Linked DNA regions of Tamandua tetradactyla. The protein of the gene in region 3 binds, or shares a complex with, the protein of the main gene of each other region. Links are inferred from orthologs where the notes say so. Each region holds a gene or a part of one and is shown on either strand. Other genes may lie near its edges. The genes, in order: DYDC1, NME5, ROPN1L and LRRC23.

Region 1 (8,607 bases), on a different chromosome or scaffold from region 3:
TAGAATTTACGGATGAGTAGGGAAGACAGATATTAATCAAATATGTCAACTAATAAATGTAAAATTGACATTGTAGTAAGTGCAATGGAGACCTGGTAATAGGGGAATTTAATCAAGTTGGAAAAGTAGAAGGAAAACTTTCCCAAGGTGTCACATTTGAGCTAAGATATGAAGAAATATTTAAAAATCAACAAGGCATAATTCTAAATTCTGAGATACTGAGCTGTTTGTATATAACATGGTCTTTCCCAGAAACTTTGGGTATTTATGTGACACCTGAGACTCAGAGTTAGAGCTCTGGAGCTATGAAAGTCAGTAGTACCCCATACAGGAACTGTTTAAAAAGTTGGAAAAGTGATTAGACATCAAGTAGAGATATGAATGAAGCTTATTTGGAATAGGACTAAGGTATAACAGAAGACTGGGTAAAGGACGATATCATCCATGTTTTAAAACTTCAACTTTTGTGTGAGACTCAAGGGAGAGATATTTATTTGGTGCAAAATTTATATTTTGGGTTGTGCAATTCCTAATTTAAATTGTTTGGTCAGTTTAGTTAACATCATAAGTACATGGAATCTTGAAAAGGGCATGCAATCTTGTTGATTTCTCTAGGTTAGTGTGATGCCCTGATAAACCACAGAGAGATTTGGACAGTGAACAAAGAAGTACTTGCAAAGTCCCCTTGGGGGAATGGAGAGAAAGGGGACAAAAATTCAACCTCCCCATTTGGAGATTCTCTGATATTCTAGCTAGCAGTGGGGACAACCAAATCAATAGGCCAAGCCTTCGATCCTGGGGGTCACCCCTATGAAACTATTCCTGCAAAGGATAAGCTAATACTACCTAACATTAGGCCTAAGAGTCACTCCCAGAGAACCTCTTTTATTGCTCAGATGTGGCCTCTCTCTCTCTCTCTAAGCCAACATGGCAATGAACTAATTGCCCTACCCCTCTACGTGGGAAATGACTTCCAGGGGTGTAAATCTCCCTGGCAACATGGGACAGAAATACTGGAATGAGAAAAAACTTCTTGACCGAAAGGGAGAAGAGAAAAGTGAGACAAAATAAAATGTCAGTGGCTGAGAGATTTCAAACAGAGTCTAGAGGTTATTCTTACACATTATATAGCTATCCCCTTTTTAGTTTATGGTATATTGGAGTGGCTGGAGGGTAGTACCTGAAGCTGTAGAACTGTTCCAGTAGCCTTGTTTCTTAAAGATGATTGAATAATGATATAATATTTACAATGTGACTGTGTGATTGTGAAAACTTTGTGTCTGATGCTCCTTTTATCAAGGGTATGGACAGATGAGTAAAAAATATGGATAGGGCGGGCCGCGGTGGCTCAGCGGGCAAAGTGCTTGCCTGCTATGCCGGAGGACCTCGGTTCGATTCCCGGCCCCAGCCCATGTAACGAAAACGGAGAAACAAAATACAATAAAACAAGAAAATGTTTAAAAGAGGTTTCCCTTTCTTCCTCTCTTCCTTCCTTCTATCCTTCCTTCCTTCTCTCTGTCTTTCCTTTAAAAAAAAAAAAAAAAAAAGAAAAAAAAATATGGATAAAAAAGAAACAAATAATAGGAGAAACAAAGGTTAAAATCAATTGGGTAGATGGAAATACTAGAGGTCAATGAGAGGGAGGGGTGAGGAGTATGGTATGTATGAGTTTTTCCTTTTTTATTTCTTTTTCTGGAGTGATACAAATGTTCAAAAAAATGATCATGGTGATGAATACATAACTATGTGATGATATTGTGAGCCACTGATTGTTCACCATGTATGGAATGTTTCTACGTTAAGAATGTTTGCATGTTTGTATGTTGTTTTATAAATAAAAATATTTTTTGAAAAAAAGAGGCAGAGAAGGAAAGGAAGAGCCTTCCAGGTATGAGAAAGCGCCTGGACGGTGACCAACCACGACAGCTGTAGGGGAAGAAGGTCAATGTGTCTAGGCCCTGTCCCTAGACAAATGCATCTAACATTTTACAAAAAATTCATCTGGAGGTCCATCCACAGACCCCAGTATTTCCATTCTCTCATATAATGTTGGTGGGAGAGCAAAACAGCATAGAGGGGGAATACTGGCAATAGTCAGAGCAATTACATAAGTGTTTACCCTTTGACCCAGCAATCTCACCTCTGGGATCCTATCGCAAAGATACATTCACAAAAATGTGAAATGACAGATGCACAAAGTTAACTTGCACCATTATTTAAAACAAAGACCGGAAACTATCAAATGTTTACCAGTAGGGGATTGGTAGCAACACAAGGAATTATATTATACAGATGTAAAACATTAGGAAACTCTCTAAGATAGGACTATTTTAGACAACGGGACTATTGTGACATGCAAAAGTGTTTACAGTATGTCATCTTTTGTATAGGAAACAGGAATGAGAAAGGAACGTGTTTGTGTCCATATACTTAGTCTTAAAACCTAAGGGAGGAGGCGTGCGACAGTGGCTCAGTGGCAGAATTCTCACTTGCCATGCGGGAGACCTAGGTTCGTTTTCCCCGTGCCTGCCCATGCAAGAAAAAACAAAATAAAATAAAATAAGGGAGGAGCCTTTGGTCTAAGTGTGGGCCCAAGTCCCACCAGCAGTGAGACCTGGGCAGGCTCAACTCGCTTGGCAAACGTTTCCCGTGCGCAAAATGGCCACAGTATCCATCAACCAAGGTTGTTGTAAGGCATGTTATTTTTCAAATACACCAAATGCCACATCTTGACTCAACTGAAGAAAGTCCCTTCCCACAGAAACAGCTGTCTCAAGTCCAGCGACGCTGCCACAAGAGACAGAAGATGACCCCCGGATCACGCTCGGGGTTTAGCCAAGTGGGAAGGGAGATGCGGGTAGCAACGCCAGATTTAGTAAATATCTGTCAATCCTCGCCCCGGGGCGCTTTGGCTCGGTTTCCAACAACCCCCGGGTCGCAAAAGGGGCCAGGTGCGACGCGGCTCACCACTGACGAGCTCTACGCCACTCGTAAAACCCAACTGCCAGCGCCGCCTGTCTCACTCGAACCCTGGGAAGCAACATGTGCGACACTCCAAAACTGCGCCTGCGTTCTCCGTGCTCGCGCCCGGTGCAGACCGACGCCCAAGCGCAATCTCGAGTCGCGTCCCGTCGCTAAGGAACGAATTCACGCACGCGCCTTAGGTGCCGGAGGAGGCCGGGGGCAGAGAGGAAGGGGCGCGAGAGGGTGAGCCGAGAGCGCGCGCGAGGGCTAGGGGGCGCGCGGCAAGGAGGAGTGCGCGCGACGCAGGGTGAGCAGCGCGCCCTCGACTCAGGTGTCAGCCGAGGTGCCCGGCAAAAGAGGAGGGACCTGGCAGCTGGGTGAGCAAAACACGGGCGTGAGGGGAGGAGAGCGCGAGGGTGGGAGGGCCGCGGGGAAGCACTGGAGAGGGTGGAGAGCGCGTGGCCGAGAGGCGCGGATGCAAGCCGCGATGGCCAGAGGCTTAGAGGTAGGGAGGAAGAGGCGGCCAAGACAAGTGCCCAGGTAGCGAGCGGACCTTCACTGCCAGAGAAGAACGAGCGGCGGATTCGCCGGAGGGTCAGTGAAGTGCAAGGAGGTCCCGAGGTCCCCTGGGCCAGAGGTCATTGCAAACTCGATGGCTCAATGGCCTTAGGTCTCAGTACCTTTGCACTTCCCGGCCACCTCCGTTTGGCTCCTTTCACAAGCGGCTCAGGCAGAGGCAAATCCCGGCCCTCCTGGTCCTGCCCCTTGCCAGAAGGTACAAAGAGGACCGTGTGAGCAGACTCTAGGGGAGCACATTTTTTTGGCGCCTCCCTTTCCAGGCCTCACCCGGTGGCTGTCATTCTTCTGGCTCTACTGTTTTTGCAACAGTCTTAGTAACCGGAAGGTTATTGGGATCATGTTGAAAATGTGCAATGTTGAGCAGGTGCTTTTTCCTTATAGGGTTTGCCTCACCTAGGCAGGGAGGCCGCTGACCAATGACTGGGGAGTGGAGAGGCTTCTTAGAAATGCAGAACTAGTGATTCTGCCCTCTGGGAAGATTGTGCCTACAAATCACCTGGGGATCTTATTAAAGTATGGATTCTGAATCTGTAGGTCTGGGTGAAACTTGAACATCTGTATTTCAGTGAGTGATGCAGTTCTGCTGGTTCTCAGATGACACTTGGAGTAAACGAGGTGTAGGAGATTGTTCATCCAGGCGCCTTGGTCCAGGTGGGCCACAGACTGGCAGAGGGGGACACCAACCTGCCCTGTCTCCACCTTCCACATTACCAAAACTTAGTGGCTTAAAGCACACACATGTATTCTCTTCCAGAGCTGGAGGTCTGAAGGCCCAGGTGAATCTTACAGGGTAAAAACGAGGGGGTGGACAGGGCTTGGTTTTTAATGGGGGCTCTGTGGGAGAATCCATTTCCTTTGCCAGCTTCTGGCATTTCTTTCCTGCCCCCTCCTCCCCCAAATTCCTTGGCTCATAGCCAGATATTGCATAGCGTTTTTTCCCCTCTGCCTCCATATTTACATTTCCTTCTTCCTTCTGTCTGAAGGAAGGAAGGAATTTCTATTTCATTCCTCTTACCAGATCCTTGAAATTACATTGAGCCCACCTGGGTGATCCAGGGTTAGCTTCCCATCTCAAGGTCCCTAACATAATCATAACTGCAAAGTCCTTTTGCCTTATAAAGTAACATATTCACAAGTTTCAGGTATTAGTGTGTGCACATTGTTGGTGGGCTATTATTCAGTCTACCACACTGTATTTTTCTTAAGAAAAAAGACATTCTCTTCTTTATTCTTATTTCAGTGAACAAAAGTGGGAAATTTAACCTAGACGCAATTCTGTTATCTAATCTAAAATTCATATTCACATGTATCCAATTTTTTTTAAAAATGTCCTTTGTAGAATTCATTTTTTTGGTCCACATCCAATTCATGATCATGTGTTGTTATTCCTGTTTAGTCTCCTTTAAGCTGCAATGGCTCTTCATCTTTTTTTTGTCTTCATATTTTTAAGAGTGCAGCTCAGTTATAGACTGTTTCTCAATTTGGTTTTGTTTGGTGTTTCCTCCATTAAATTCTTCCATTTATGGGCAGGAATCCACCAAAATGTATTATGTACCTTTCAGGACATCACTTCAGGAGGGCTGTGATGCCAGTTTGTCCCTTTTTGGTGATATATAATTCAATACTTCGATCCCTGGGTTAAGGTTGTGTCGATCAGGTTTCACCACTATAAACTTTCTACATTTCCATTTGGAATTATTTCTTCATCTGAAAAGAGGAGCTTTAACACTATTGAAATAGCTTATTTCTTATCGAATATTCGCCGAGTTTTGGCACCCACTGAAATTCTGATTTGATTCATGTACACTGTGATGGTTATGAAATAGTGATTTTAACTCCATTATTCTTTCCACATTTATTAATTGGTGTTCTGCTTTAAGGAAGACCTTTCCCTTCTTCCCCATTCATTCATTCACTACTTATTCTCAAATGGATTCTTATTTTGTTCAGTGAGTTATAATCCATTGCCATTATTATTTATTTTAATGGTCAAATTCACCTAGATTTGACTGGTTAGAACTGCTTCCTGCTGGCTTCTGTGTTTCCAACCATTTTATTTTTAGCATGTTCTTACTATTTGGCACAGCAAAATATTTCAGACTCATTGGATCCTTCTTGCCCAAGCCTTGGAAATCAGCTATTTCTCCAAAGAGCCCAAATTCCTTTTAAGTAAGAAGATGATTTAAATACAAAAGCTGGGTACTAGGAGTGCTTATTGGTGCTAGTTTTTTGCTACTAGGCCCTTGCAGTGGAGAAAGTTAGGAAGTATATTTCTTTACTACATCCATATCTTTCCATCTTTAATCTGAAAAATGAACAACAAAACCAGCATTGACAGTTTTATACAAGACAAAAAAACACCTCCAAAAAACATTAGGACTGGATCTAAGCCTGTAATATTTACTGTGCTTTTTTGGAGTTAAAATATGTACATTTCAGGAATTTGAGTTAGGAACAGATTAGGAGCTAGGCCAGTTCTTGTCACAATCTCCCACTGTAATAGGTAATATTTATTAAATGCTACATGCCAAGCGCTGTGCTAAGTGCCTTTCATTTATTATCTCTTCTAATCCTCACAATTATGGGGTACATATTTATGTTATTTCTGTTATAGATAAGAAAACTGAGGCTCAGAGAGGCTGAGTGACTTGCTAGAGAGATCACACAGCTGGTAAGTGGCAGAACCGGAACTGGAATTTGGTCTGTTTGAATCTGCAGCCTGCATTCATACTGCTACCCTAACGTTACCATGCCATTCTGCTACTGGTGATCCTAAGAGATGATACAATTTGGGCTATACTGCCTCCAGCTCTAGGACTCTGATTAATAATAAATCCAGGGTCATCAACCCAATCTAAGCAATAGGAAGTGGAATATTGTGTTGTATACAAGCAGGATGCCTGTCCCCCAGTGGCGGTGGTGCTTGTTCATTTTCCCTCCTTTTCCTCCCCAAGGCTTCTTATGGGTTTCCTGTAAAATAAATAAATTTGTTTTATCTATTTCGTAAATAACCATGAGCGCCAACCTCACAATACCATAACTCGCTGGGTGCTCAGAGCCCCTCCCAGGGGATTTCCTGCATGGTCAGTTATGTCCTCCTTGCCAAGGGTAGACGTGTGGGAGTAAGTGGAGGCTTGCTGAATACTTAAGCACCAATCTAACCACCTGATGACCCCCAGGACCTATTTCTGGCTTAGGACAACTGGAGGATGTAAGAACAGTTGGCAATAATGTATTTGGGTTTTTTTTTTTTTGAGAGAGAGAGAATGAATTCAGAAATATCTCATATTTATCCTGAAATGAATCTGAATTGGTTAGAATATGTACATTTAAAAAAATCAGATTGGATGTCTAAAATAATATGACTCTGCCTTCATGTTTCCCAGACCCCCAGGATGGAAACTGACTACCTAAAGAGGTGCTTTGGAAATTGCCTAGCCCAGGCACTGGCTGAGGTGGCTAAGGTTCGGCCCAGCGACCCAATAGAGTACCTGGCTCACTGGCTTTATCATTATAGGAAAACCTCCAAGGCAAAAGAAGAGGTGTGTATATATACTGGGTCTTCATTGGGAGGGGCTTTCTAGCTTTCTCCAAAGTAATTCTGGAGCTGGCCTGGAGAGTTTCTTGGTTTATTCAACATGCAAAGATTGTTTGGGGCCTGTAATAGTTAAGTTTAGGTGTCAACCTGGCCAGGTGATGGTGCCAGTTGTCTGGTCAGGCAAGCACTGGCCTTACCACTACTGCAAGGATATTTCTTGACTGGTTAATAAGCCAGAAGTCTGTATTATTAAATCATCGGTAAGTGTTAAGGTAGGAAGGAGGAACTCAGCATGGAGTATACATAGACCACAACAGATGAGCACCAGGAAATCCACAAATCACCCAGCCACAACACAGAGCACATTGAGGCTCCTAGTAGCCTACCTTTTCCTCCATATTCAAATTTTTAAATATTCATCAATCTTAGTGACAATCCCCATCTATGGAAAAAGAAATTTTAAAAGGCAATTCATCTTGAATATTAGGAAATGCCTTTGGTGTTACTAGTTTAAAAACTCAGATTTTTAAAAAATCTAATACTTCACCTGGAACAAATGTATTTTCATACAAGTTCCTTTGAGCCCTTTTCAAAAATTACTCAGTATTTTTCAAAAACAAAATAATGGCTGTTGTTAGTATATACCTCAGGTATATTATAATATTTTATTATTTGCAATTTACTTATGCATCAGCCACAGACACCTCCTCTATTTTGCTATAATAGTGGACATAAAAACTTGTAATAATTGGAACAACTGTGGATACATCAGTCAGACAAGCATATCTTTTATCTCCCACAATTTTTGCTACAATCTCCTGAACAATGATTTCTGTCATTTTATGCATCCTGCACAAGGAACAATAATACCTGAATACAGAACTGACTTAGTGGCAATGTTAGACCTGATTTCTAATACCTTTTAAAATACTCACTATATCCTGTGCATTAAAATCTTTGGTGCAGTGTGTACAATTCACTAGCTTTGGTGTAAGCAATGTTAATATTATAAGGTTTCTGAAGTCCACTTTTTCAAAGGCGTGAAAATATAACAGGTTTATTTATAGTTATACTAAAATGCTCAGCCTTCCTTTAAACAAATAATAGGTTTATTTTGCAAGTCTGGACATTTTCTAAATAAATTAAATCAAAAGAAAGTTGCTTTTCACATTACTCTTTGACCATAGTTCTGAGGGAATTTTTCAGAAATGATTCATTTTTTGAACAGTAGTTGGAAGAGGTGAAGTCACTATGCGAAAGTTGTCATCAGCTTGATGCCCATTCTAACTCTTTTCCAATACCACATTTCACTATTAACAAACATATGTGTTATATATTTAGTTTTATGGTACCTATTCCAGTTTGCTAGCTGCCAGAATGCAATATACCAGAAATGGAATGGCTTTTAAAAATGGGAATTTAATAAATTGCTAGTTTACAGTTCTAAGGAAGAGAAAATGTCCCAATCAAAACAAGTCTATAGAAATGTTCAATCCAAGGCATCCAGAAAAAGATACCTTGGTTCA
Region 2 (8,314 bases), on a different chromosome or scaffold from region 3:
CCTAAATCAGTATGTTAGAATAGTGGTTGAATATTTTGATTTTTTAAAAATTTATTTCTGTTAAACAAGTCTTAACTCATAGATTTCTTTCTTAATGGAGCTCATAGTCTGCATTTCTGTAAAGGAAGTCTATTAAGAAGTAAACCACACTTTATTTTAAGTGTTTTGTCTTAGAGTTTGCAGCCACTATTTTCATCTAGAGTGACTTCCCAGGGTTTCCTTATCTTTCTGGATTTGTCTTTACCAGGTTCAGCAGTCCATTTCTGAAGCCTGTGTCAGATAGGCAGGCCCCTGGGTACAAGGATGTGGTGAAAAGGTCAGTGGAAAAGGGGTCAAGAAAGGTTGGTTGCTTTTTTATCTGTCTTTTTATTCTTTCTCATCTATTAGATTATTATTTGCTTCATTTACATTACTTACAAACTCAACATTATATTTTTCAGCTGAAGAAGTTTGTAAAGTTATGGTGAACTCATTATTTTCATGTGAGAAGGAACTCAAGAAACAAAAGGATAACATGTATTTTTTAACATTGACTTTGAAGTAATAGGATTCATATATTGTTATATAACCTCACATTAGCATTTTTTGTTCCCCTTATTATTTATTTTATTCCTTATGTTTTACTCATCTGTGCATAAGGTAGATAAAAGAAGCATCAAACACAAGTTTTTTGTGTATCATTATACAATCATCTTCAAGAAACATGACTACTAGAACACAGCTCTACGTTTTCAGGCAGTTCCCTCCAGCCTCTCTGTTATGCCTTAACTAAAAAGATAATATCTATTTAATGCGTAAGAATAACCTCCAGGATAACCTCCTGACTCTGTTTGGAATCTCTCCGCCATTGACACTTTATTTTGCCTCATTTCTCTCTTCCCCCTTTCGGTCAAGAAGGTTTTCTCAATCCCTTGATGCTGAGTCCCAGCTCATTCTAGGAATTCTGTCCCACGTTGCCAGGAAGGTCCACACCCCTGGGAGTCATGTCCATGTAGAGAAGGGGAGGGCAGTGAGTTTGCTTGTCACTTTGGCTGAGAGAGAGAGGCCACATCAGAGCAATAAAAGAAGTTCTTTTGAGGTTGACTCTTTGGCCCAATTTTAAGTAGGCTTAGCCTATCCTTTGCGGGGTTAAGTTTCATATGAACAAACCCCAAGATTTGGGAGCTCAGCCTATTGCTTTAGTTGTCCCCACTGCTTGTGAGACTATCAAGAATTCTCCACTTGGGGAGGTTGAATTTTCCCCCTTTCTCACCATTCCCCCAAGGGAACTTTGCAAATACTTTTTTATTCACTGTTTAAATCACTCTGGGGTTTATTGGGGGCATCACTCTGGACAAACCTACAAAATCTTATGCCCTACTCAAGGTTCCATGTGCTATGGTTTTTTTAAAACCATTTTTAAGTGTATAATTTAATAGTAGTTAGTTACATTCATCATGTTGTGCAACCATTACCGCTACAACTAAAACTTTTTCATCACCCCAAACAGAAACTCTGTACTCATTAAGCAATTACTCACCAGTCTTCCCTCCCCCTAACCCTGGTAAACTCTAATATACTTTTTGTCTCTCTGAATTTCCCTGTTCTAGATATTTCATATAAATGGTATTCTACAATAGTTATCTATTTATGCCTGGATATTCATCCATTTGTGTCTGGCTTATTTCATTTACAAATGTTTTCAAGGTTCGTCTTTGTTTTTGACATTGTACTTTTGAAGCAAAACTTTGGAAAGGAAAGTTGCGATCAGGCATTTAGCTTTGCGGTATGCTAAATGCAAGGATGGTAATCCAAATGAGTGTTACAAACATTGATTATAGTATTTTAGATTTTTCCAGCATAGTTCATCTAAATACTGTCATAACCAGTGTTCTAGTTTGCTAGCTGCCAGAATGCAATGTACCAGAAAACGGCTTTTAAAAGGGGAATTTAATAAGTTGCTAGTTTACAGTTCTAAGGCCGAGAAAATGTCCCGATTAAACAAGTCTGTGGAAATGTCCAACCTAAGGCATCCAAGGAAAGATACCTTGGTTGAAGAAGGCCGATGAAGTTCAGGGTTTCTTTCTCAAGTGAGAAGGCACATGGTGAACGCAGTCAGGGTTTCTCTCTCACCTGGAAGGGCACATGGCAAACATGGTGTCATCTGCTAGCTTTCTCTCCTGGCTTCGGATTTCATGAAGCTCCCAGGAGGCGTTTTCCTTCTTCATCTCTAAAGGTCGCTGGCTCATGGACTCTCTGCTTCGTGGTGCTGCAGCATTCACTGCTCTCCCTGAATCTCCTCCATTCTCCAAAATGTTTCCTCTTTTATAGGACTCCAGAAACTTATCAAGACCTACCCAAATGGATATAGACATGTCATCACCTAACCCAATTTAACAACCACTCTTGATTAAATCACATCTCCAGGGAGATGTTCTAATTACAGTTTCAAACATACAGTGCTGAATAGGGATTAGAAGAAACGACTGCCTTTACAAAATGGGATTAGGATTAAAACATGGCTTTTCTAGGGGGCACACATCCTTTCAAACCAGCACAACCAGTGTATTAACAGAATGTTCAAAGATCAGGAAGGGACTTTCGCAGGCAAATTCTTTCATTTTCTAAATGAGGAAACTGAGATTCAGAGGTGGTCATGACTTGCCTATGATCAACCAATAGGTTATAGCAGAGCTAGAACTAAATCCCAGATTCTATTTTTTTTGGGGGGGAGACTCCTTAATGTTTATATGTACCTCCATTCAGGCATATTTTATTCATAGTGACCCCCTTATTTTCAATAATGCATATTTTAATCTCCTTTAACATTGAAAAAAATCTTTTCCGAACAGAAGAATGCCCATTTGTAAATACCAGACAGTTGCCTCCCAGTTCAATCTCTACACTGCTGTTCCTACTCATATACCCCCACTCTCTGGGTCTCATTAAATAATAATTTGATTTGTCTTATTATTCACTTGATTCTCACCTTTGTTCTCCATGAAAGGAGAACTGACTGACCTTTGAAGATCTTTGCAATATTTTACCTCGGCGCTATCCTATTACAATAGTAGAATATAGTGGCTGGGCCTTAGGGCTCTGGAGTCAACTTCTTTTATTAGAATCTAGGCTGGCTCGCTTTGCGCAAGGACTTAATCTTGTTAGATCTCAATTTCACCATCTAAAGGGGGGATAATAATACTTTATAGGCTTACTGAGAGAATTAAGTGCGTCAGTATGCAAAGTGCCTAGCATAATGATTAGCCTGTTGTAAGCAATCAAATGTTAGCTGCTGTTGCTAGTTTATTTTGTGATGGGAGTTGTTATTTTTATTATTTTCATTGAGAAGAGGTTATTCTCCAAGAGAGTATGTTAATGTCACCACATGTTCTACATGAAGGTTTGATTTCCCTTGATTTCTTTTGGTCACTTGCAGACCCATGGACTTAACTAGCCTGAAGAGGAATCTATCTAAGGGACGGATTCGCACCATGGCCCAGTTCCAGCGGGACCTGATGCTGATGTTCCAAAATGCTGTGATGTACAATGACTCTGACCATCATGTGTACCACATGGCTGTGGAGATGCAGCGAGAAGTCTTGGAGCAGATTCAGGTACTTTTTTGTAGAGAGCTGTGAAAAAGAATTTTTTTACATCTGGAATTTGATTTCAGGAAATCTGTGAGAATAAGTGTGCTATTGAGGTAAACTTGTGTTCCGAGAGTTTATCTTTAGGGGTTATTGAAGGTCTTAAAGGATTGACACTGTACCTACTGGCTGTATCCCTTAGCCTCTGTAGAGAGTGAAGTGAAATAGCCTGGAAAGGCAGGCAGCAGTAAAGAGCTCTCAAAAAGCTGGGGATAGACAAATAATGGGAGCTGTACTTCGAGAGCCTCAGGTCAGAGGGCTGAATATGCAAAGCAGATTCCGGAGTCACTAACCATTCTTTTGTTTGCTACACCTGTTGATACTAATGTACTTTCACACTATCACATCTTTAGCGGATAAGATATAATAACCAGAAATAAACATTTAATGGTTCCTTTTCTGGAAGGCATAATACTTTAAAGAGGAAAGTGTAATCAAATTTATGTGCAGAAGAAGAAATAATATTGCATTTAAATTTCTGTAATTTTTAAGATCCACATTTTGCTATCTGTCTTGACTCTTTAGGTGCTGAGTATTTGGTTAGACAAAAGAAGAGACTTAAATAGTCTGGAGTGAGAATTGTCCAACCTTGTGGATGATGAAAAACCTATTTTGTTACCCTGGAACTGCTACCCTGACCTTTTCTGGAGTTTGGACCTCTCCTTGAGATTCTGATCCTGAGAAGATTTCAGTACTTGTTTACCACGTTTCTGTTGCATTTTCTAAAATAGTAATGCCCCAGTTTACTACCAAGGAGAAGAAGAGGGAAGCTGAGATTGTGTTTATGCCACAAATGTAGCCCTACATCTTTGTTCCTTAGGTTTAATTTAGAGGTAACTTGATTAAACCTATTACTGAGCTATAAATAAATGTTATTTCGCAAACCACAAATTGCTTTTTTAATCGTTACAGAAGCTAGGGATAGAGGAGACAGCATGATTTGATCAAATGAGGATGGGATTTGACAAGGATTTTTTTGCGTTTGTTGTCTGGAAGGGATGAGGGGGGAGTGTCTGATTTTTCTTCTCATTCGTAAAGTGGGAATGAAGCATCCTCCTATAGAGAAGAGGATGAAATAAGATAAATTATGAGGAGATATAAAACAAACAAAAAACAATAGCGTCTAGCGCTCTAAGATTCGCAGGGGGAATAAAATCATTTGTAGTTGGCTCCCTTTCTTGGTTAAAAGGAAGCGGTAGAAGGGCACAAAGCGCTCTGCTGAGATTGACCCTCTGCAGCCACCATCCCTGAACTGGGGCTTCAGGTCTCCTAGCAACAAGCTGTGGTCGCAGTGGAGGGGAGGGTACTGCGGTGAGTGCTGGCATTGGGGTGGACTTGGAATCTGCGGGAGCACCCGAAGAATCCCAGAGGACCCGGGGGTCCTGCTCTCCAACCAGGCTTGGTCCTATATGTGTGGTCTTCTATAAGAGGTGTAGTTGTTCTAAGGCAACCCGTCCCCGAAGCCTACGGGATTCCCCTTTCCTTTGGTCCTGTGAGCCCCTCTATCTTTCCTATCTTGGTGGAAGTGCTTACGAAAACCCAAAGCGTGACCTGGACACAGGACAGAAATCGTGATCAGTGAGACACTGCTTATAGAAAAATATGTGACAGTTTCTAATTTCTTAAATTAGTAATATCAAGCATCTATTATTGCGGTTATTAATCAGAATTACATTAAATTGGGAGGGTACGTGTCATTGCAGTTGATACCTGTCAAGAAACTTAAATTGTACTCTGAAGGGACAGAATGGAGATATCAATGCCCCCACCTCAGATATATGTAGAAAAGACTCTGGCCATTATCAAACCAGACGTTGTTGACAAAGAAGAGGAAATAGAAGATATCATTCTCGGGTCTGGATTCACCATTGTTCAGGTAACTTCTAGGCACCATGATCATGCTTTTTTTCTTTTTGCTCCTTTATTTAAATGTGTATGTGAATGTGTTACTCCATTTAGATTTTTAGTATATAGCATTAAATTTAGGTTTATTCTTTTGAGGATAAAAGTAGTATGTGATAGTTATGAAAATGTTATATACCTCGAAAAGATATAAAATGAGAAGAAAAATGATCTCTTCCTTCACCTGTCTTCTCCCACTCCAAGTCCTCGAATCCATAGGCAACTACTGTTAACGCTGTCTGTTGTTCTAGGAGTTTTCTATGTATTTACAAACATTTTTTCCCATAAAATATAATAGTTCCCCTCCCTTGACCTCCTTTACAAAGTCTCTCTGGTAGCATTCCACAGTGTACATCTGCATCTATCTCATTCTTCCTAACTTCTGTGTAACATTCCCCTGTATGGATAAGTCACAGTTTATGTATTTATGTTCTACAGATGGACTTTTAGGTCATTGGTGTGTTTTCAGTATTGTAAACATTTAATGTTTTAAGCCTCATATTTGTTCTGCTTTTGGTAAATATTGTGATTATAGAGGCTTGAGAATGAATATAAAAAGAATATTTTAAAAGCTTATCAAATATGAGGGGTGCAAGAGTAATTCAGTGGTAGAATTCTCACCTGCCATGTGAGAGACCCAGGTTTTTGCACTTCCCCCAAAACAAACAAACAAGCAAAACAAACAAACAAACAAAAATTCAACAAATGGTGCTGCAATAACAGGATACTCACATAGCAAAATAATAAAATGTGACCCTGTCATACAGCATACGAAAAAAAAAAGCTTATCAAATACAGTTGAAAAAGTTTTTACCCTTTCTTTACCATCCTTATTTAAATTTCCAGTTTTTTAATTCTCTTATATTTATACAGGGTCATGCGCCTAGTTAATAAAATTACACTGAGATTCTATTTGGCAAAAATCTAAAAATAAAAGGCACAACCCCTTTTGAAGGGAAACTGGCAGTTATCTACCAGTATTACTGATGCATTTACCGTTTAACTCAGCAGTCTTACTCCTGGGAATGCCTCCTATAGAAACTCCTATAGTAACATAAATGGTATATATTTATATATATATATATATACAGATTATTTTTTACAACATTGGTTATTTACCAGCAAAATATTGCACAAAACTCTGCAGTAGGAGATTGGTTTAATAAACCCTGATGAATTCACTAAATTGAATACTGTGCAACTAACTGTAAAAAGAAGAATGAGGAACTTCTCTGTGTACTGTTATGGAAAAAAGCAAGCTGCAAAACAGCATGTGGCAACCTTTTGTGAAGGAAAGGCGGAAAAGGAATGTATATTCACATTTGCCAATATTTGCAAAATTATTAATATTATTATTATTATTTTTTTTAGGCCACATCTGAGCAACAAAAGAGGCTCTCTTGGGGTTGGCTCTTAGGCCTAAATTTTAAGTAGGCTTAACCTTTGTGGGGTTAAATTTCATATGAACAAACCCCAAGACTGGGGGCTCAGCCTATAGCTTTGGTTGTCCACACTGCTTGTGAGAATATCAAGAATTCAACTTGGCGAAGTTGAATTTTCCCCCGTTCTCACTATTCCCCAAAGGGGACTTTGCAAATACTTTTCCACTCACTGATGAAATCACTCTGGGATTCATCGGGACATCAAAATTAAAAAGTGGGAGCTAAATGAACTTAAAAAAATGGCTACCTATTGAGGGCAAGGAAGAACAGGATGGATTGGGACAGGGATGGGATTGAGATTTTTCAGGATATACCTTTTTTATATTGCTTTCATTTTTTGAAACTTTTAATACCCATTGATTTTTTAATCATAGAAAAAAATAAGCATATAAATAAGATAAAGATACACCTTTCAGTTCAAAAAAATTTATAAGTCCATATTTTAAAATGAGAATTAATGAAAATTGTTAATAATTAAGTAGCTAATTATAAATCAGTATAACTACTCATATTTAATACTTTCTCTTGTCAGCAATAAATTTCAGACTATCGAAGCCATGGTGTGTCAGATGCTTTAAAATAGGCTTTACTGTAGTTGGGAGTCTATTGAACTTGAGGCTTTCTTGTCCCATGCTGGGAAAGCCTTCTGAAAAATTATATATCCTTTCAGTTGGTGCCTGTGTTTCCTTTGTTACAAACTGAGGGTTCCATTCTTGAAAGTATTTTATCACCACTTCTCTTTGTAAAAATATTCAACCTAGTTCCAAAACTTTTTCCCTGATATGAATTTTAAATTAACTAATGGAATCATTGATTCAGTTTCAACTTTAAAGTCAAATCCTTGATTTTTAAGATTATGCTGTATTAGTTAGGATATCTGAAGAAAGTAGCTTCTTCTACTTGTAGTATGGGCATGATGTAGATAAAGCCTTACATTGCCACAGGTGAGATTTTATTTTTAAACCTCTCAAGGGAAAAAACTACCCATATGCATTAAAATAATAAATGCTGGCTGGTGTTAATTTTAAATAATTATTCATAATACTTTTAAAAAATAAATGTTAAGAGGGGTGCAAGGGTAGTTCCGTGGTAGAATTCTCACCTACCATGAGGAAGACCCGGGTTCAATTCCCAGCCCATGTACTTCCCAAAACAAACAAACAAACAAACCCAAACAAATAAAAATTCAACAAATGGTTGCAATAACAGGCTTCTCACATGTAAAAAGAATGAAATGTGACTCCTGCCATATAAATACAAAAAATATAAATATGTTAAAGAATCAAGCATCCAAATAAATCAGATGTTACTGTAATTTCAAATTTCTTTTATTTCTTGACTGTA
Region 3 (7,488 bases):
GTTTCTGTTTGAGTTGATGGGAAAGTTCTGATAATGGATGGTGTGAGGGTAGCACAACATTGTGAATGTGATTAATCCCACTCAATTGTATGCTTGGGTTGAGATGGGAAAGTATATGTTGTATATGTATTTCCACAATTTAATAAAAAAGCTATCTAAGGCCACCTTTGCTGGGCCAAGACATATGTCTGTGCAGACTGTGCACATCTCCTTCAGAGTGTGCTTTGCCGTTTGTATTGGCAGCCATGTGAAAGGTGGCCCCTTGTCTAGTTGTGAACTTCCAGAGCCCTGTAACCCTCCACTGGATCACTAGATAACACCTGCCAAGTGCTCTACAGTTCCATCCCTCTCCTGCATCATCAATGTCTCTTTGTTGCCTCATTTCCATCATCATTCAGATATTGCTCTCCTTTCTTCCACTGTAAACAAAATCTTGACCCCACTTTCTCCTCCAACAATTGCTCCATTTCTCTTTGCTTTTAAAAAACTGCCTTCAAAGAGTTAACTGTACTCAATTGTTTCCCATTCATGCTCTCTCATTCTCTTCCCAACCTGTTCCATCCAGGTTTTTGCTCCCACTATTCCACTGGAATTGCTCTTGTAAAGGTCAAAAGTGACTACTACTAAAAGTCTCAGGTCTCAACTTGTCTCATCTGGCACAATTGTTTTCTCTGTCCATCAAACATTTCCCTTGGCTCCCAGGATGCCACACTCTCCAAATTTCCCTCCTACATATTTGGACTGAACTCCTTTGCTAGCTCCATCTTGTCTTGCAACTGTTTTCAAGGCTCTGGGACTTAGTCTGGACCCTCTATCCCATCTATACCCTTGGACTTGGGGCTCTTGCTCAGTTTCATAGCTATAGTGATGAAGTGTACACTGATGACTCCCACATATGTATCCTTGTTCCCTGACCTCTAGACACATCCATCCAGACAACTGCCTACAATCCCATGAACAGGTCCAAAATACAGCTTTTGATCTCCCACCACCCCAAACCTGCTATTTTTCTCAAACTCCATCTCAGTTGGTAAGCAACTGGATGGATTAGAGTTGCTAAGTCAAAAATGGTGGGAACACTCTTGACCCTTCTCTCATACACTCCGTATCCAGTCCGACAGCAAATCTTTTCTCTTAAAAATCAGGAATCTAATTCACACTATCTCCCCTGCTGCCTCTGGGTGCCTAGCTCCATCATCTCCTGCCTGGAATACTGCTATTTTTCCTGTGCTCCCTTGCCTCTGCCCTTGCTTTCTATTCTTTTCTCCATCACTGAGTCCAGAGTGAACCTTAAGACAGAATTCAGATATATTAGTCCTCTACCCAGAATCCTTCAACAGCATAAGCCATTGTGTGTGATGATGATATCACACTCAAAGCCAGAGTCCACAATGGCCTTCAAGTTTGGGCAAGACTTGTGGCTCTTCTTTTTCTCTTCATAACAGCATCAATACCTTCTCCCCGTACCCCCACCCAACAGCCACCATCACACACGCACAACTCTTGCTGTGCTCTAGCCAGCCTTTCTGTCCTCACATTTGGTTGGGCCTCAGGGCCTTTTCACATGCTGTTTGCTGTGCCTGAGTGTTTTTCCTCCGGCTCCTCCAACCGAATTTCTTGACATAAGTGTCATTCTCAGTGAGGCTTATCTAAAATTGCAGCTACTGGAGTCTTCCTGTGTCCCTGTCTCCTGTAGTTTTTTCTTTAATATTATTAAGCATACTATATGGTTTCCTTATCCTGTTTATTTACATTTTTCCCCCTTTAAATGGAAGCTCCAGAGATTTTTTTAAAAAAACTACTTGGACTACTGCTATATTCCCAGAATCTAGTAATAGTCCCTAACATTTATCAGTGCTCAGTAAGTGTTGAGCAAGTAAATAAATGAATGAATTCAGGGGGAAAAAATGGCTAAATGGTTAAAATAAAACCCCATGTCATCAGCGTATTCCATTAATGGTTTACTGTACCCTTGCAGATTTGCTTTATGTAAATAAACATACATTCACAGAATCATTTTATCACAATAAAGGTGTCATGCTAACTGGTAGATTTGTTCTTCAGGAAGTGTTCTTCACTTTGTATGTTAACTGGCATCTGATACCAGTCCATAAATAGCTGCTCCATTTTTAAATTTTGGGTGTATTGTATTCTATTGTGTAGACAGACCATGATTTAAGTTTTCTGAAGACAGTTGTCCCATTTTATTATATTACAAACTATGCTTTAGTAAACATTCTTTTCCATATAACTTTGAACACTCAGGCTAGTATTTCCACAAGATAGTTTCCTAGAAGATTGCTAAGTCATCAAAAGGTTTTATAGTGCCAAATTGTCCCCAAAACACACTAATGACACTCCTATCCAGTGTATAAGAGTCCTTATTTTCCCATACCTTCATCAACGTTGAATATTGATTATTTTCAGTTTTACCAATGTTGTTAACTTGGAAATGTGTTGTGTGATTCATTTGTTGGGATGTGGACCAAAAGGAAAGATCGGACCAACTTCTCAGGTAAAGAGCCATCGTGGGGCTTGATGCAGGGCCACGTTCATACATTGTGGGTGTTAAGGATAGCGGCTGGAGCCAGCCAGGACTCAAACCCTGCATGTGGCCTGGTCAGCACCCATCCGAATAGATCAGAATTACGTCTATGCAAAGCTACTGCAATAGAAGACAGGTGGCTCATTTCCTCCTAGGACCCAGTGTATTAGCTCAACCACCATTTCTTACTTAGGACAAGTTAAATGGAATCAACTTCTCTGTATCTAAACTCCAGGTGGCTTTTTTTTATTATTTTTAAAATATGCTTTTACTTAGTCAAATTTTCAACTTGAAGTTGATTATATTGTCCATTACAGTAATATATTTTCTAATCTTAAGAGTTATAGAAAGAAAATATAATGAGAGACTCTTATTTAGATCTGGGGTAAAAAAAAACAGTAAAAATACATTATTGATTCGTTTAGGAGAATGTGAATATGAAAGGATATTGATATTAAGAATTTTTTTTTTTAACATGGGCAGGCACCGGGAATCAAACCCGGGTCCTCTGACATGGCAGGCGAGCATTCTTGCCTGCTGAGCCACCGTGGCCCACTCAATATTAAGAATTTTTATGAATTGTTGGTTTCAGTGGCCTATAAATTTTTAATTTACTTTCTAATTTATTATGTAGGAAATTTTGGTATTAAAATTACGAATGAGATGTAAATTATTGATAGGAATGCCATCATTCTAGGTTATGTTAAAGAATTCAACTTTATACTCCCTCTAATACCCAGAAAGAGTTTGGAATGGATGATATAACAAGACAACTAAATGTTGAAAACTTTTGAAGCTGATTTTATGGTATAACGAGGTTCATTTTGTTTTCTCTAGTTTTCAGAATGTTTCAAATTTCCATCTTAAAGTTTTTAAGGAAATAAAGTATACTTACATTGCTGGGAATTTTTTTTTTTTACAGTGTTACTTTAAAGCCATTGCTGGTTTCATTTTGATCAAATATATGTGTATTTGGTCCACATATTCATAAGTAAGATTGTATTATAGGTGCTCCTCCAGCCCTATCCAGCTCTTCCAGATCCAGGTCAGTTTTCTCCCTCTTTTCCCAAAAAAAGTGATCACTTGCGTGAAGAGCATCCCCTGGGTAACAGTTCTCAATTCCGGGAAGATTATAATCTACACTTTTGTATAAATGTCCCACCTCGGAGAACCCGAGTCACCTTGCCCCTAAGCCTCGAGTAGCCACAGCAAGGGGAAAAAAGGGACTTTGTGAGTATGCCGCTCACATGTGGCTGTGGAAAATCGATCAAAAGGCCCTTTTCCGCTAGAAATGTGCAACTTCAACAGCTCTAAAGCCCGAGCTAGCGGAGGAAGGACTAGGGAGTCAGACTGGGCAAGCCCACTGCCTGGCCTAGCCGCCTCCTATGTGTGCGCATGCGCGGCGCCCGGACCCGCGCGCGTCCCGGTTGCCTGGATACCGATGCGAAACAATCGCTGCTGCTTGCTGGGGAGGGGCAAGGTCCGGTGTGTCGCTTGCAGGGACCGTTGGGCTTCATTTCCCTAGGATCCGGAGGAAGAGGCGGTAAAGCCCCCCGCCCCGGGACCCCAGCTCAGCCTCAAACCCGGGGGTGTGCGGTGCCTAAGCCCCAATGTGGTCCCGGCGACCGCAGAGCCCCGAAGCTCGGGGAACCGCCCCCCCCCCCTCCTTTCCTGTCCTCTCCTCTCCGCAGCCACCCGTGATTCTTCCCAGGCTGCTTCGTGGTCTTCGGGAGAGATGCCGCTGCCCGACACCATGTTCTGCGCGCAGCAGATCCACATTCCCCCGGAGCTGCCGGATATCCTGAAGCAGTTCACCAAGGCTGCAATCCGCACCCAGCCCGCCGACGTCCTGCAGTGGTCCGCGGGGTAAGCCCCTCGGCCGCGGCCTGCAGCCTCCAGCCCTACTTACGTGCCGGGACACTCAGGGGTCGTGCGTCTCTCGAAAGTACCTTGGCGTGTGACTGCCAATCAGAGCAGAAGTTAGGGTAGAACGCGCGCTTAGCTACAGAGTGACAACTCAGTTGTTGACGAGTGGTGTTTAAGACAACGGACCACAACTTGAAAGTAACTGCATTGGATATAACGTTTCCACCTGATGTTATAAATTCGGACTATCACAGTGTAATAACATGTAATAAAGGGTTCCTCCTTGTAACTTGATTTATGCAAGAAGGAATCCTTGATCTGTTCCCAGTCTCAGAGAATCCTGGTTGAGTTTATTAGAACTAGAATGACTGAGGTCATGGGGTCAACCGCCCGCACCCCACCCCTCCCAGGCTGCGAAGATGCCTCCCTACCGGCAGCTGCACAGGAAGGAAATTTCACAGTTTGTTGCAACAAACATTCTAACCAATTTGCAGTAACAGATATTCATAATCCCAGAGTTTCAGGACAACTGAATCTAGAGCTGTTGAAAGAAATTTGATTTTATGGAAGGGTCCTTGCCCTTTTATTGATAAACATGCTTAGATGAATGGAGGCTCACTTCTATGAGGACATAACTCAAGTCTAAGTATAGATGTAGCTTACTTTTTAGTTTGTCAGATTTTAATGACCTTCTCTGAACTTTCTAGCCAAGATGTAATCGTTTCCCAGAGCTGCTGTAAAAAATTGCCACAAACTTTGTGGCTTAAAACAATGATAATTTATTCTCCTGCAGTTCTGGAGCCCAGAAGTCAAGTCCAAAATTAGTTTCACTGAGCCCAGGCCAACTATTGTCAGGGCTGCGGTCCCTCCAGAGGCTCTAGGGGAGAGCCCCTTCCCTTGCCTCCTCCAGCTTCTATAGCAGCCTTCCTTGGCTCATGGCTTCTTCCTCTGTCTTCAAAGCCAGCAGGATAGCATCTTCATGTGTCCCTCTCTCTCCCTCCTATAGGGGTGTGATGGCTTGTGGGCCTCCTGGATAATCCAGGACAATTTTCCCATCTCAGAGTTCTCAGTCATACTACAAAGTCTCTATTAGCATATAAGGTTCCAGGGGTTCCAGTCTAGATATCTTTGGGGTCCACTATTCAGCTGCCCATACAAGGCTACTACTAGGTAATACAGTGCTTTGCCTTCTGAAAGGGTCCTTCAAGGTTCGTATCTGCCCCCCCCCTAAAAAATAGTGGCATCTGGTTTTAACTGTTAGTCAAGCCCAAATAAAAGATTGTTAGGACTTAGATTTGATTTCCATTCTATAGAAAATTTCAAGATTTAGTAAAGTTTTTTCCTGGAACATTAAAGAATATTTGGTAATATTTTATAGACAACTATTTAAAGCTTCACTTTTTGGGGGGGGGGGGAGGGGTATGCTTACAAATGAGAAATGTGTTGTTTTGCAGTTCCAGAGGCTGGAAGCTCAAAAGCAAGGTGTTGGCAAGGCCATGCTCCCTCTAAAGTCTGCAGGGTTCTGGAAGTGACTTGCTGGCAATTCAAGGCATTCTTTGGCATGCTACATAACTCAACTCTGCCTCTGCCACATGGCTGCCTTCTCTCTCTGTCTGTGTCCAAAGGTCTTTTCCTAGTAAGGACACCAGTCGTTGGATTTGGGCCCATTCCAATCCATTTTAGCCTCATCTTAATGATTCACAAAGACCCTATTTCCACATAGGATCACATTCATGGGACCAGGGATTAGAACTTGAAACCAGCTTTTGGGGGGACACAATTCAATCCACAATGAGGAAGTTACAGTCAAGGTGCATATAATGCACGTGTGATCTCATTAATGCGAGAAACTAATTGGTGTTATAAATCATAGATATGCAGCTGTCTCTGTGTTGGTAAATTGTCCCCAGCATTTTTTCACTCCTGGAGAGTCTAAACTTCACTTTTAACTTAAAAGGTTAAACTGAGAACTTTCTGAATGTTCCTTCCTTGCCATTCCTTTTTCTCAGGAACAATTTTAGAGTTTTAGAGTGAAACCAAGCATTAGTCATTAAGCAACACATTAATAACTCAAGTTAAGGTGGAAAGTGGTCAGCGTATATTAAAGGGTCATGGGATTCAGAAGTGGGTGATTGTGTCTGTGAGAAATTCTGAAAGAGACTGAGGCTAAGGCAGGGCGGTGCGGTATTGTAGGATGGGAAAACAGCATCTGGATAAGGGGAGGGTGAGAGGGAACTGTAACAATGAAAACAAAAAACAAGAACTGGATTAGGCCTCTTTCTACAGGTGGTGAAGGCATCAGAGGTGAGTGAGCCTTTATCCCAAGCCTGTCTGCTGTGCTGTGATGGAACAGTTGGTCCACTGTCCCTTATGATGTCATCACATAGCACAATGGAGGCTTGATCTGGGCGAGTGTCAAAGGCAGCTTTGGCTCACTTGTGCCTGGAGAGGACAAGCAGAGTGTAACACAAGTCAGCTTCCCCTTTAAATCAGGGTTTCCCACATTAGGCCCTTGAAAACCCTTTGGTTGGGGGAAGGGGCTTTTGTGTGCATTGCAGGCTGCAGGGCAGCATCCAGGCTTCCATCTAGAGGTGCCAGGAGCACCCTCCACCGCAGTTGTGACCATCAAAGATGTCTCCAGGCATGGTTAAATGCCCCTGGGTGGGATGAAGACAAAATGGCTCGCTCTGGAGATCCCGTGCTCTAAGTGCACTCGGAACTGGGTGACTGATGGGTTGTGCAGAATAAAATCAACATGGTGGAAACCCTCCTGGGAGCAATATGACAAAACTAAGCACCCCTCCAGCTCAGCCCTGGAGATTTCATCAGCCAGTGCTGACCCCAAAGTTTCTAGGGCCCTGTTTGTCTGACAGCTGCCTCCGTTTTACTTTTCCTTGCATCTGGAAGTTCAACCCACAGAACCCAGCTGGAGCTCTCTTACAAGCATGAAAACGAAGTTGAATTTGGGAGCTGAATTTGGAGAAAGAGAGGGGGATGAGCTATGAAACGTCCTTTTAGTCCTCTCAATCATCTACCCCCATTTATCTGTTACATTTGCAGAGATGTTCCAATTATTC
Region 4 (7,720 bases), on a different chromosome or scaffold from region 3:
GGGATTGTTGGAGTGAAAACAGATAATGTGGGGTAAATTGCCTTAACTTTAGTAGATGCTCCCTAAACAATTCTCTGCCCCTCCCCATCCCTTGCCTCAGTTTCTTCATTATTGAGGTTGTTGTGAGAAAAGAGAAAGAATATGAAAGCACCCTAAAGAGCCAGAAGTCCTACTGAAGGAAAATTATTGCATTGTTAGAGTGCAGAGAAGGGAAAACCCTATGTGGTGTGGTTTGCTGTACTCAAAGGGAAAGGATGTGATTTTCCTTGGCCTGAAAAAAAAAGAATACACTTTAGGTGGGAGGAAAAGGTGTGGCCTAGGGACTAGGGAAGTATCAATTAATATACTCTTGTTAAGAGTTTACTCTGCACCAGACTCTAAATGGTGGGTGCTCAAGGACAATAAAAAACTTTATCTTCAGAGGGTTTACAGGCCATTGAGAGGGTTAAGTAAACAAGAGACAGATGCTATAATAATGATACCCAACATTTAGTGATCTTTTAATAAGTGCCAAGGGATAATTTTATAGTATGTGTATATACATATTACCCATATTCCTCACAAAACAATGAAGTAGGAGCTATAATTCTCACTTTACAGATGAATTTGAATATGGAACTTTGTGGGGGATAAAGGGTGTACAACTGATCTAGTGCAGGGTCAGGAAAACCAAGCCATTCCAGAGGCGGAACCAAGAACTGCCAGGTGAAGGGGGCAGAAATTCCAGACAGAGGAAGCACCTGTGTGAAGGTCTAGACGCGAGAGAGAGGCCATTGCCTAGTGCAAGGAGAACAGGTGGTTCTGCCACCTAGGACAGCAGGTGCAGGGGAGGTGGAAGGAGTGCTGGGTGGGGGGAGGGCGCGTTGGAAGGGGGGATGGGGGGGCAGTATGAGGCAGGAGCAGCAAATGGAGATGGATCACACTCAAGAATCTGGACTTTATCTTGAAAGCTGTCGGGAGCCTTTGAAAGTCTTATTTTGTGCTTAGTTGACAAGGACTCAATCTACATTGCTTAATTAAGAAACAAAAGGGCTATCAATCATGCAGACTGTTCATCGACCGGATTTTTTCATCCAATAGTACAACCTGGACATCTTTCATATCACTAAACATAGATCTACCTCCTTTCTTTGTTATAGTTGTCTTCCATTATGTGGATATATTGTAATTTTTCTATTCCCCGTTGATAGGTATTGACTTTTTAAAAAATTAACATTATAAATAATGTGGCAATAAAAATTCTTAAAGGTATATTTTTGTTCTTCTAGTAAGTACTCTGGAGGATTACTTCTCAAAATTTAAAGTGCATAGGAATTGTCCGAGAATCTCACTAAAATATAAATTATGAAATTCTCAGAAGACATCCATGCTGCTTGTCCACGGACCACACTTTAAGTAACAAGGCTCTGTGGGATATTGAAAACTAGAAAACGTTGAAATAAAAGCAGCAAGGATAAATAAGAGGGCATTAGATTTAGCAAGGAAGATTTATGACAACTCTGACTAATCCAGGTGGGGTAGTCAGTTTAAGAGGGAGTGGTTAGCATAATAGGTTTGCTCACTTACAATGCACAGTTTCTAACATAACCTGGGTGTCTCTTACTTCCAATCTCCCTCGTCCAGGGTAAAGAAAATGATTGTCTGCCTGTAGAGACTACCAAGACAAAACTAACATTATAGCAGGAAGTACACAGATGATGGGGAAACAAGGAAACCTGTCTGAGGGATAGTGGAATCTAACCCTATATGTAAAGAAACTCGAGGCCGGGGGTGGTGGAGGTTGAGGCTTAATTATATGATTTGCCCAAGCCTTCTGTCCCTTCCACTCCCTTCTGTGGCCCACCGCCCTCCCAAAAACTAGAGGCCCCCTCACCCTCTTTTTTAACTTTTTTTAATCGTGAAAAATTATATATATCCAAAAAAGCAATAAATTTCTAAGTATATTTTAACAAATATTATACAAGAAATTTTAAAGTTTGGTAAGGGTAACAGTTCCTCGATTTTTCATTTTTGCTTCTAGCTGATCCAAGACTGGAGACCAACAGAAATATTAATATAATTGTCAGGTATCAGAAAATAAAACTTAATATACAAAATGGATTCTGTAACACGGGGGTCCCTTCAGTTTCTCTCCCTCAGCAGTGAGGACAAACGTGCCAACACCCCACCTGCCAGAAGCCAGACCAGATAACCGTAAGTGTGAAGTCATGATCTGCACCAGCCTGATATCTCCCAGCGATGCCTGTGCACCCCCAACCCCTCTTGGCACGGTTTTTCCTTTAAAACCACAAGCTGTCAGAAAGTTGGAGTCATTTTTCCTTTCCTTTCGGTAGTAGGTTTTGCTGGCTCCCACCTGCCTGTTTTCCCTTTGCTCTCAATCTGTTTCTCTAATTCTCAATAAACTGTTAAGCTTTAACTCACTGTTTCATGTGGAATCCTTTAGCTACCCAGTGTCTAACAATAATGATTCAGCTGTCATACTCATTTGTTAAATCCTATCTTTTCAGTTATACTCCTCCTTCTCTTTAAATAACATACACAGAAGAGCAATAAATTTCAAAGTACAGCACAGCAATCAGTTGAACAGAGTGTGGTATAGGTTACAATTCCACAATTTTAGGTTTTTATTTCTAGCTACTGTAAGGTACTGGAGGCTAAAAGAAATATCAGTATAATGATTCAGCACCCATACTCATTTGTTAAACCCGACCTTCTCTGTAAAACTCCACCATCACCTTTGATCTTTCTTTCTCCCACTCTTTAGGGGTATTTGGGCCATACCCATTTTAACTTTTTCACCCTGGAAGAAGTGTCCTTAATATGGAATAAGGGGATGGAACTAGTTGCTATTCTGGAAAAGCTGGCCCCTCGACACAGGATTTATTTGGTCCTGGGACCCATCTGGGGGTTGATGGCTTGGGAAAGTTACCCTAGTGCAGGAAACCCTAGTTCCTCCTTGCCTTTAAGGATGGGCTTTCAGCCAGAGACCCTGCCTCCACTCAGAGTCCTTTGTTCCGGCGCAGAACGTTCCAGACGCCAATGCGGGTGCCAGGGAGTAGGTTGGCGGGGCGGGGGTTGCCGGCTCCTCCTTCATTCCGAGATCACAAGGCCGGCGGACGAGGATGGGTGGAGTCGCCTTTACCAAGGCGCCGGTGGTGGGTTCGCAGGGCACGCTGCGCAGCCGCCCCGCCCCCCAACGTGACCGCTCACGTGACAATGGGCCGGCGTGAGTCAGCGTGCTGCCTGCCGCGTGCTTTGCAATGGTTAAGGAACCTGAAGGTTATACGCCTGCGCAGGGTGGCAGCGCGGCCTCCTAGGCCATATTTTCTACAGACGCTGTCGCCATTTTCTCGCCACCCGTGGGCTTGGTAGTCAGTATTCCTATGTTTGATTCTTTTTTTTTTATTTTAAACATGGGCAGGCACCGGGAATCAATCCCGGATCCTCTGGCGTGGCAGGCAAGCGTTCTTGCCTGCTGAGCCACCATGGCCCACCTCTATGTTTGATTGTTGATGCTGCTAATTACCAGCTCTGTGGACCAGCTGTTTAATCTCTGTAAGCCTCAGTCTGTGAATCTGTTGAAATTGACATATCATTTTTGTAGAGTTAAATGAGATACTGTGAGTTTCATGACATATTTAACTCGATATCAGCAATACTCGTTTAAATAGGACACAGGGTGGCCAACCAACATCACATGAGCGTGAGATGGAAGAATGGACTATGTTGTTTCTTTGGGCCCTGTTCTCCTGGGTTTCTTCAGTGTAGATACCTTGCAGGGCTACGATTCTGTTGTTTTAATATATCTCCTTTCCATATAACATGACCCGTTTAGAGGCAGTCCAGTCAAATCGGATCTTTGTAAATGCTGGGAGAAAAACTGTTTTTCTGAGGGAGGGTGGTGTGTCCGTTTCTGATATTAGCCACATAAATATGGCGTCAAGAATCTGCATGTGTAATCAACATTCAAGAAATTTGTGAAGCTAGATCATCAGAACGTTGCTACAGTTGCTAAGGTGACAGCAAAGTGGGTGTGATAAGTACTTGAAGTCAGAAAAGGCACTAAACTTACAGTTAGAGGACATGAACCAGAAACGTGTCTAACAGGCAATACATAGCAAAAAAAAAAAAAAAAAAAAAACGAAAAAAAGAAAGTAAAGCTCTCATTCTGAAGTCAAAGTTCAAACTTATTGCCAGGGAACAGGGCATTCGGATGTAAGGATTTCAAAACCAGCCAAAGATGGCTTAATAGTTTCAGAAACCACTTCAACCTCAAAAAATATGCAAATTGTGAGGCTGTGTCTGTGCAGGAACAGGCAGCAAAACCCATCCAAAGATACTTTTAAAAATTATTGGTAAACCCACAACTTCTCTAATTAAAAAAGTAAATTTAAAATTTTTTAAAAGCAACTAATTGCCAACTTTCTATAAAATAGGAATACACACATAACTATTAACAGAGCCTGTTTAGAATATTTGAGTACCAGCCACCCCATTATCCATATTAATGTGGGTGGGAGACAGAAGCAGATATTTTTATAATGTAATGTATCGATAATCAAGTAAAATTTCTTAATTCTTAAAAGGCCTATGGATAAGCTTAATGCCTATGGCTAAGCTAACTTAAGATAACAATTTCAGGTGGTTGAGATTTCCATATGTTCATTATAAAAATATTTGTAGCTTCACATTTTCCTGAAATCAGGAAAATATTGAGTAACATAGGCCATTACTATAACAATGTAGATATTTGCAAGAACTTTCTACGTGATATTTTGAGAACATTCACAGTTTTAACAGCTGATTCAGTGGTATCTAAGTTTGTGTTTAATATTTAGAATGTAAGAACTCTGCCGTCTGAATTTGCAGATTTTTTTCCTTGTTGCCTTAATTTTAAATTGCTTTATGAAACTTACAGCGCAAACACAGGCTTTACAATGATTTATTTAAATATGCCTGTGGTTAAGCTAAGATATCCATTGTTGGGGGTTCTAAATAAATTGTTTTCTTAAATTAAAAAAAAAGTCCACACACTCAGAGGTAAAATTGTTGAAAAAAAAATAACCAAGAGAAACAGAATAGGCCGAAAGAAAGATGAAGTTAGGAAAATGTTTAATCTGATACTATATTATAACAAAAAGTTTTTAGCCTTCATGTGATTTGAATAAAGTGCTTAAGATACATCAAAAAATCAATGAGACAACAACTGAGGCAAAAACTGATGTGAAAATTATTTTGGATCATGGAAAACATTCTGATATTCCTATTTGATTCAAGTTTTCAAACTATAAGCCAATGGGGTGACAAGTGCGTTTGTCTTGGCACATGTAGCAATTAAAAAATTCCCAACCAATATCCCGAAGAACCACAGACAAATATTTACTGAAGTCCACAAGAGTCTTTTCCCTGAATAAAAATATTCCAAAATAATAAAAGTTGCTATACATTTCACTGTAACACACTTGCTCCTTGAGTAGAATCAATGATTTAAAAAAAGTATTACCAGCGAAAAGGGCTATCTTGTGGAATATGATGAGACAGGTATTTTCTGGGAGGAAACTGCATTTAGATTTCCAAACTAGAAACACAAGGCCCTGTTTGAAGGCAGTTAATGACTTTATCTCTGCTCCTTTCTCTCCTTTCCATCTGTCCCCCTCTTATAGTGGCAATGTAATGTATTTAATAATGCCAGACATATTCTATAGCGCTACAAATCCTTGAGTCCCACTCCCTAAAAAATCTGTTGGTGCCCAACAATCAAATGCAAAGTCTTGGGGTGATAGCAGCACTTTTCCTGATTAGTTCCACAGTTGTTCATTCTAGAAGTCAAGCAGGACCTCAAAGAGAAAGACTTGGCTTTAGCATGGCTGACCACAAATAGCTTCACCCTGAGGTACTCCGTTGTGTACTAACAACATTGAAGTCTTCTTCCTCCCCACAGTATCACCGCACCCTCTGTCTGCTAATCTAAGCATGATTTGCTATTTCAAAGACACATATATGAGGCTGAGATTGCTCCTTGATTCCCAGAGCCATGTATGCTGACTCATTTTAATGTGACGTTGATTTGGAAGTCCTTCCATATTGCCAGTTGCAAAATTTATATTAAACAGACAATGGAAGCAATGAAATCTGAATCATTCAGTGTAGGTTGGCAACAATGAGTTTAGAATTTAAGGATTTTCTGTGGAAAAGAAGTGAAACTCATTGCTGAAGTGGCCTAGGAAGTGGATCATGGTGGCTTTATGGAAATCTTTGAGGAATAAATTGAAGAACTTCTTAAGAACCACAGAGAAATGCTAATAAGAAGTTTGAGGAACTGATAAGATAAAGATGATGAATACGAAGAGGCAAGAAGTTGAAATCATCATAAATTTGCTGAAGTAGTCCATGCTGCAAAATACCTGAAGGATTTAAATTCTTAATAAAATCCCACATGGAGAAAAACCTGAAAATCACCTGTGGCTAAATCTATACATTTGTAATTTCCTATGAACTAGCACGTCTGCAACAAAAATGAGTGCCTAGGTCCACAAAAGAACTTGCACTATAATGGACATAGTATCTTTCTGCATAATAACTAAAAACTGGAAAAAACCCAAATGCCTATCAGTAGAATAAACTGTGGTATTAATACACAATGGAATTGTCCAATAATGGAAATAACAAGCCACTGTTACATTCAACAAAATCTCACAGACATAATGTTGAGAAAAGTCAGACACAAAAGAGTACGTACTATATGGTTTCATTTATATGAAATGGAAGAACAGACAAAACTAAGCAGTGATAGAGGTCAAACAAAGTTACCTGTGGGAGTTTATCTGGCAAGAAGGAGTTCTCTAGAATGCTGGAAATGTTCTTTATATTGATCTTTTGGGTGGTAGTCCACAAATGTATACACATGTAATAACTTCATTGAGCAATTTAAGATGAGTGTACTTTTTATGTTACATGTTGATAAAGAAGATTAAATGTTAGAATTACTTGTAGCATTATGGAATATATGTGTAATTATCAGCATGTATTTGAGCAGCTCAAGATTCAGTGCAACAACTGTTGAATATCATATTTTAAACAACCAGAAGTAGCTGAGCCTGGGCAATTTCTCAAGCTAAATCAGAGCCAGTTGAGGTTTACTCTCCCTCTCTGTACCCCATGCCTTCTACCATTTGGGTTCTACAAGGGTCCTTTACTTATTATTCATCATAGGCCTGTATCCACAATCATGGTGGCATTATTATTATTTTTATACACTGGCAAGTATATCCAGGATAGATGGTTGATAAGGGTACACGGTTCAGGGTTCACAGCTTTCCTTTTCTTTAATTAAATCATCACAAAATTATATTCTGTATATCATTGAATCCATTCTTCCAAATGTCTATTTTTTAACATAAAATTAACACATGTTGTTACCTAATAGATGGTGTATTAGTTTGGAAGCTGATAGAATGTGATATTCCAGAACTGGAACAGCTTTTAAAAAGGGGAATTTAATAAGTTACAAGTTTACAGTTCTGAGGAAGTGAAAGTGTCCAAATTAAGGCACCAACAAGAGGTTACCTTCACTCAAGAAAGGTGGATGGGTCAGGAACACCTCTGTCAGCTGGGTAGTCACGTGGCTGGCATCTGCTGGTCCTTTGCTCCTGGGCTCTGTTGCTTTCAGCCTCTGTCCCTGTGAGGGTTCCTCATTTTACTCCTCCAGGGCTGGCTTTCA

Evidence for each region.
Region 1: ROPN1L (region 3) and DYDC1 share a complex: the UniProt entries of both Homo sapiens proteins name them as parts of the axonemal radial spoke complex. The link is inferred for Tamandua tetradactyla from reciprocal best matches to the Homo sapiens genes ROPN1L and DYDC1.
Region 2: ROPN1L (region 3) and NME5 share a complex: the UniProt entries of both Homo sapiens proteins name them as parts of the axonemal radial spoke complex. The link is inferred for Tamandua tetradactyla from reciprocal best matches to the Homo sapiens genes ROPN1L and NME5.
Region 4: ROPN1L (region 3) and LRRC23 share a complex: the UniProt entries of both Homo sapiens proteins name them as parts of the axonemal radial spoke complex. The link is inferred for Tamandua tetradactyla from reciprocal best matches to the Homo sapiens genes ROPN1L and LRRC23.

The regions. Positions count from the first base shown.
Region 1 is NC_135339.1:15,512,889-15,521,495, reverse strand, and holds the start of DYDC1 (DPY30 domain-containing protein 1), read right to left. Parts: upstream 3,139-8,607; 5' UTR 2,968-3,138; intron 1-2,967. UniProt on the Homo sapiens protein: Functions as part of axonemal radial spoke complexes that play an important part in the motility of sperm and cilia. Plays a crucial role during acrosome biogenesis.
Region 2 is NC_135346.1:17,790,785-17,799,098, reverse strand, and holds the start of NME5 (nucleoside diphosphate kinase homolog 5), read left to right. Parts: upstream 1-4,848; 5' UTR 4,849-4,937; intron 4,938-4,945; exon of another isoform or gene 4,946-5,366; 5' UTR 5,367-5,373; coding exon 5,374-5,502; intron 5,503-8,314. Other genes in the region: BRD8 (bromodomain-containing protein 8), read left to right, coding at 248-316, 3,416-3,593, 4,152-4,202. UniProt on the Homo sapiens protein: Functions as part of axonemal radial spoke complexes that play an important part in the motility of sperm and cilia. Does not seem to have nucleoside diphosphate kinase (NDPK) activity.
Region 3 is NC_135335.1:58,942,663-58,950,150, forward strand, and holds the start of ROPN1L (ropporin-1-like protein), read left to right. Parts: upstream 1-3,956; 5' UTR 3,957-4,088; intron 4,089-4,236; 5' UTR 4,237-4,280; coding exon 4,281-4,411; intron 4,412-7,488. UniProt on the Homo sapiens protein: Functions as part of axonemal radial spoke complexes that play an important part in the motility of sperm and cilia. Important for male fertility.
Region 4 is NC_135333.1:69,192,944-69,200,663, reverse strand, and holds the start of LRRC23 (leucine-rich repeat-containing protein 23), read right to left. Parts: upstream 3,193-7,720; 5' UTR 2,961-3,192; intron 1-2,960. UniProt on the Homo sapiens protein: Essential for sperm motility and male fertility. Plays an important role in the proper assembly of the third radial spoke (RS3) head and the bridge structure between RS2 and RS3 in the sperm flagella.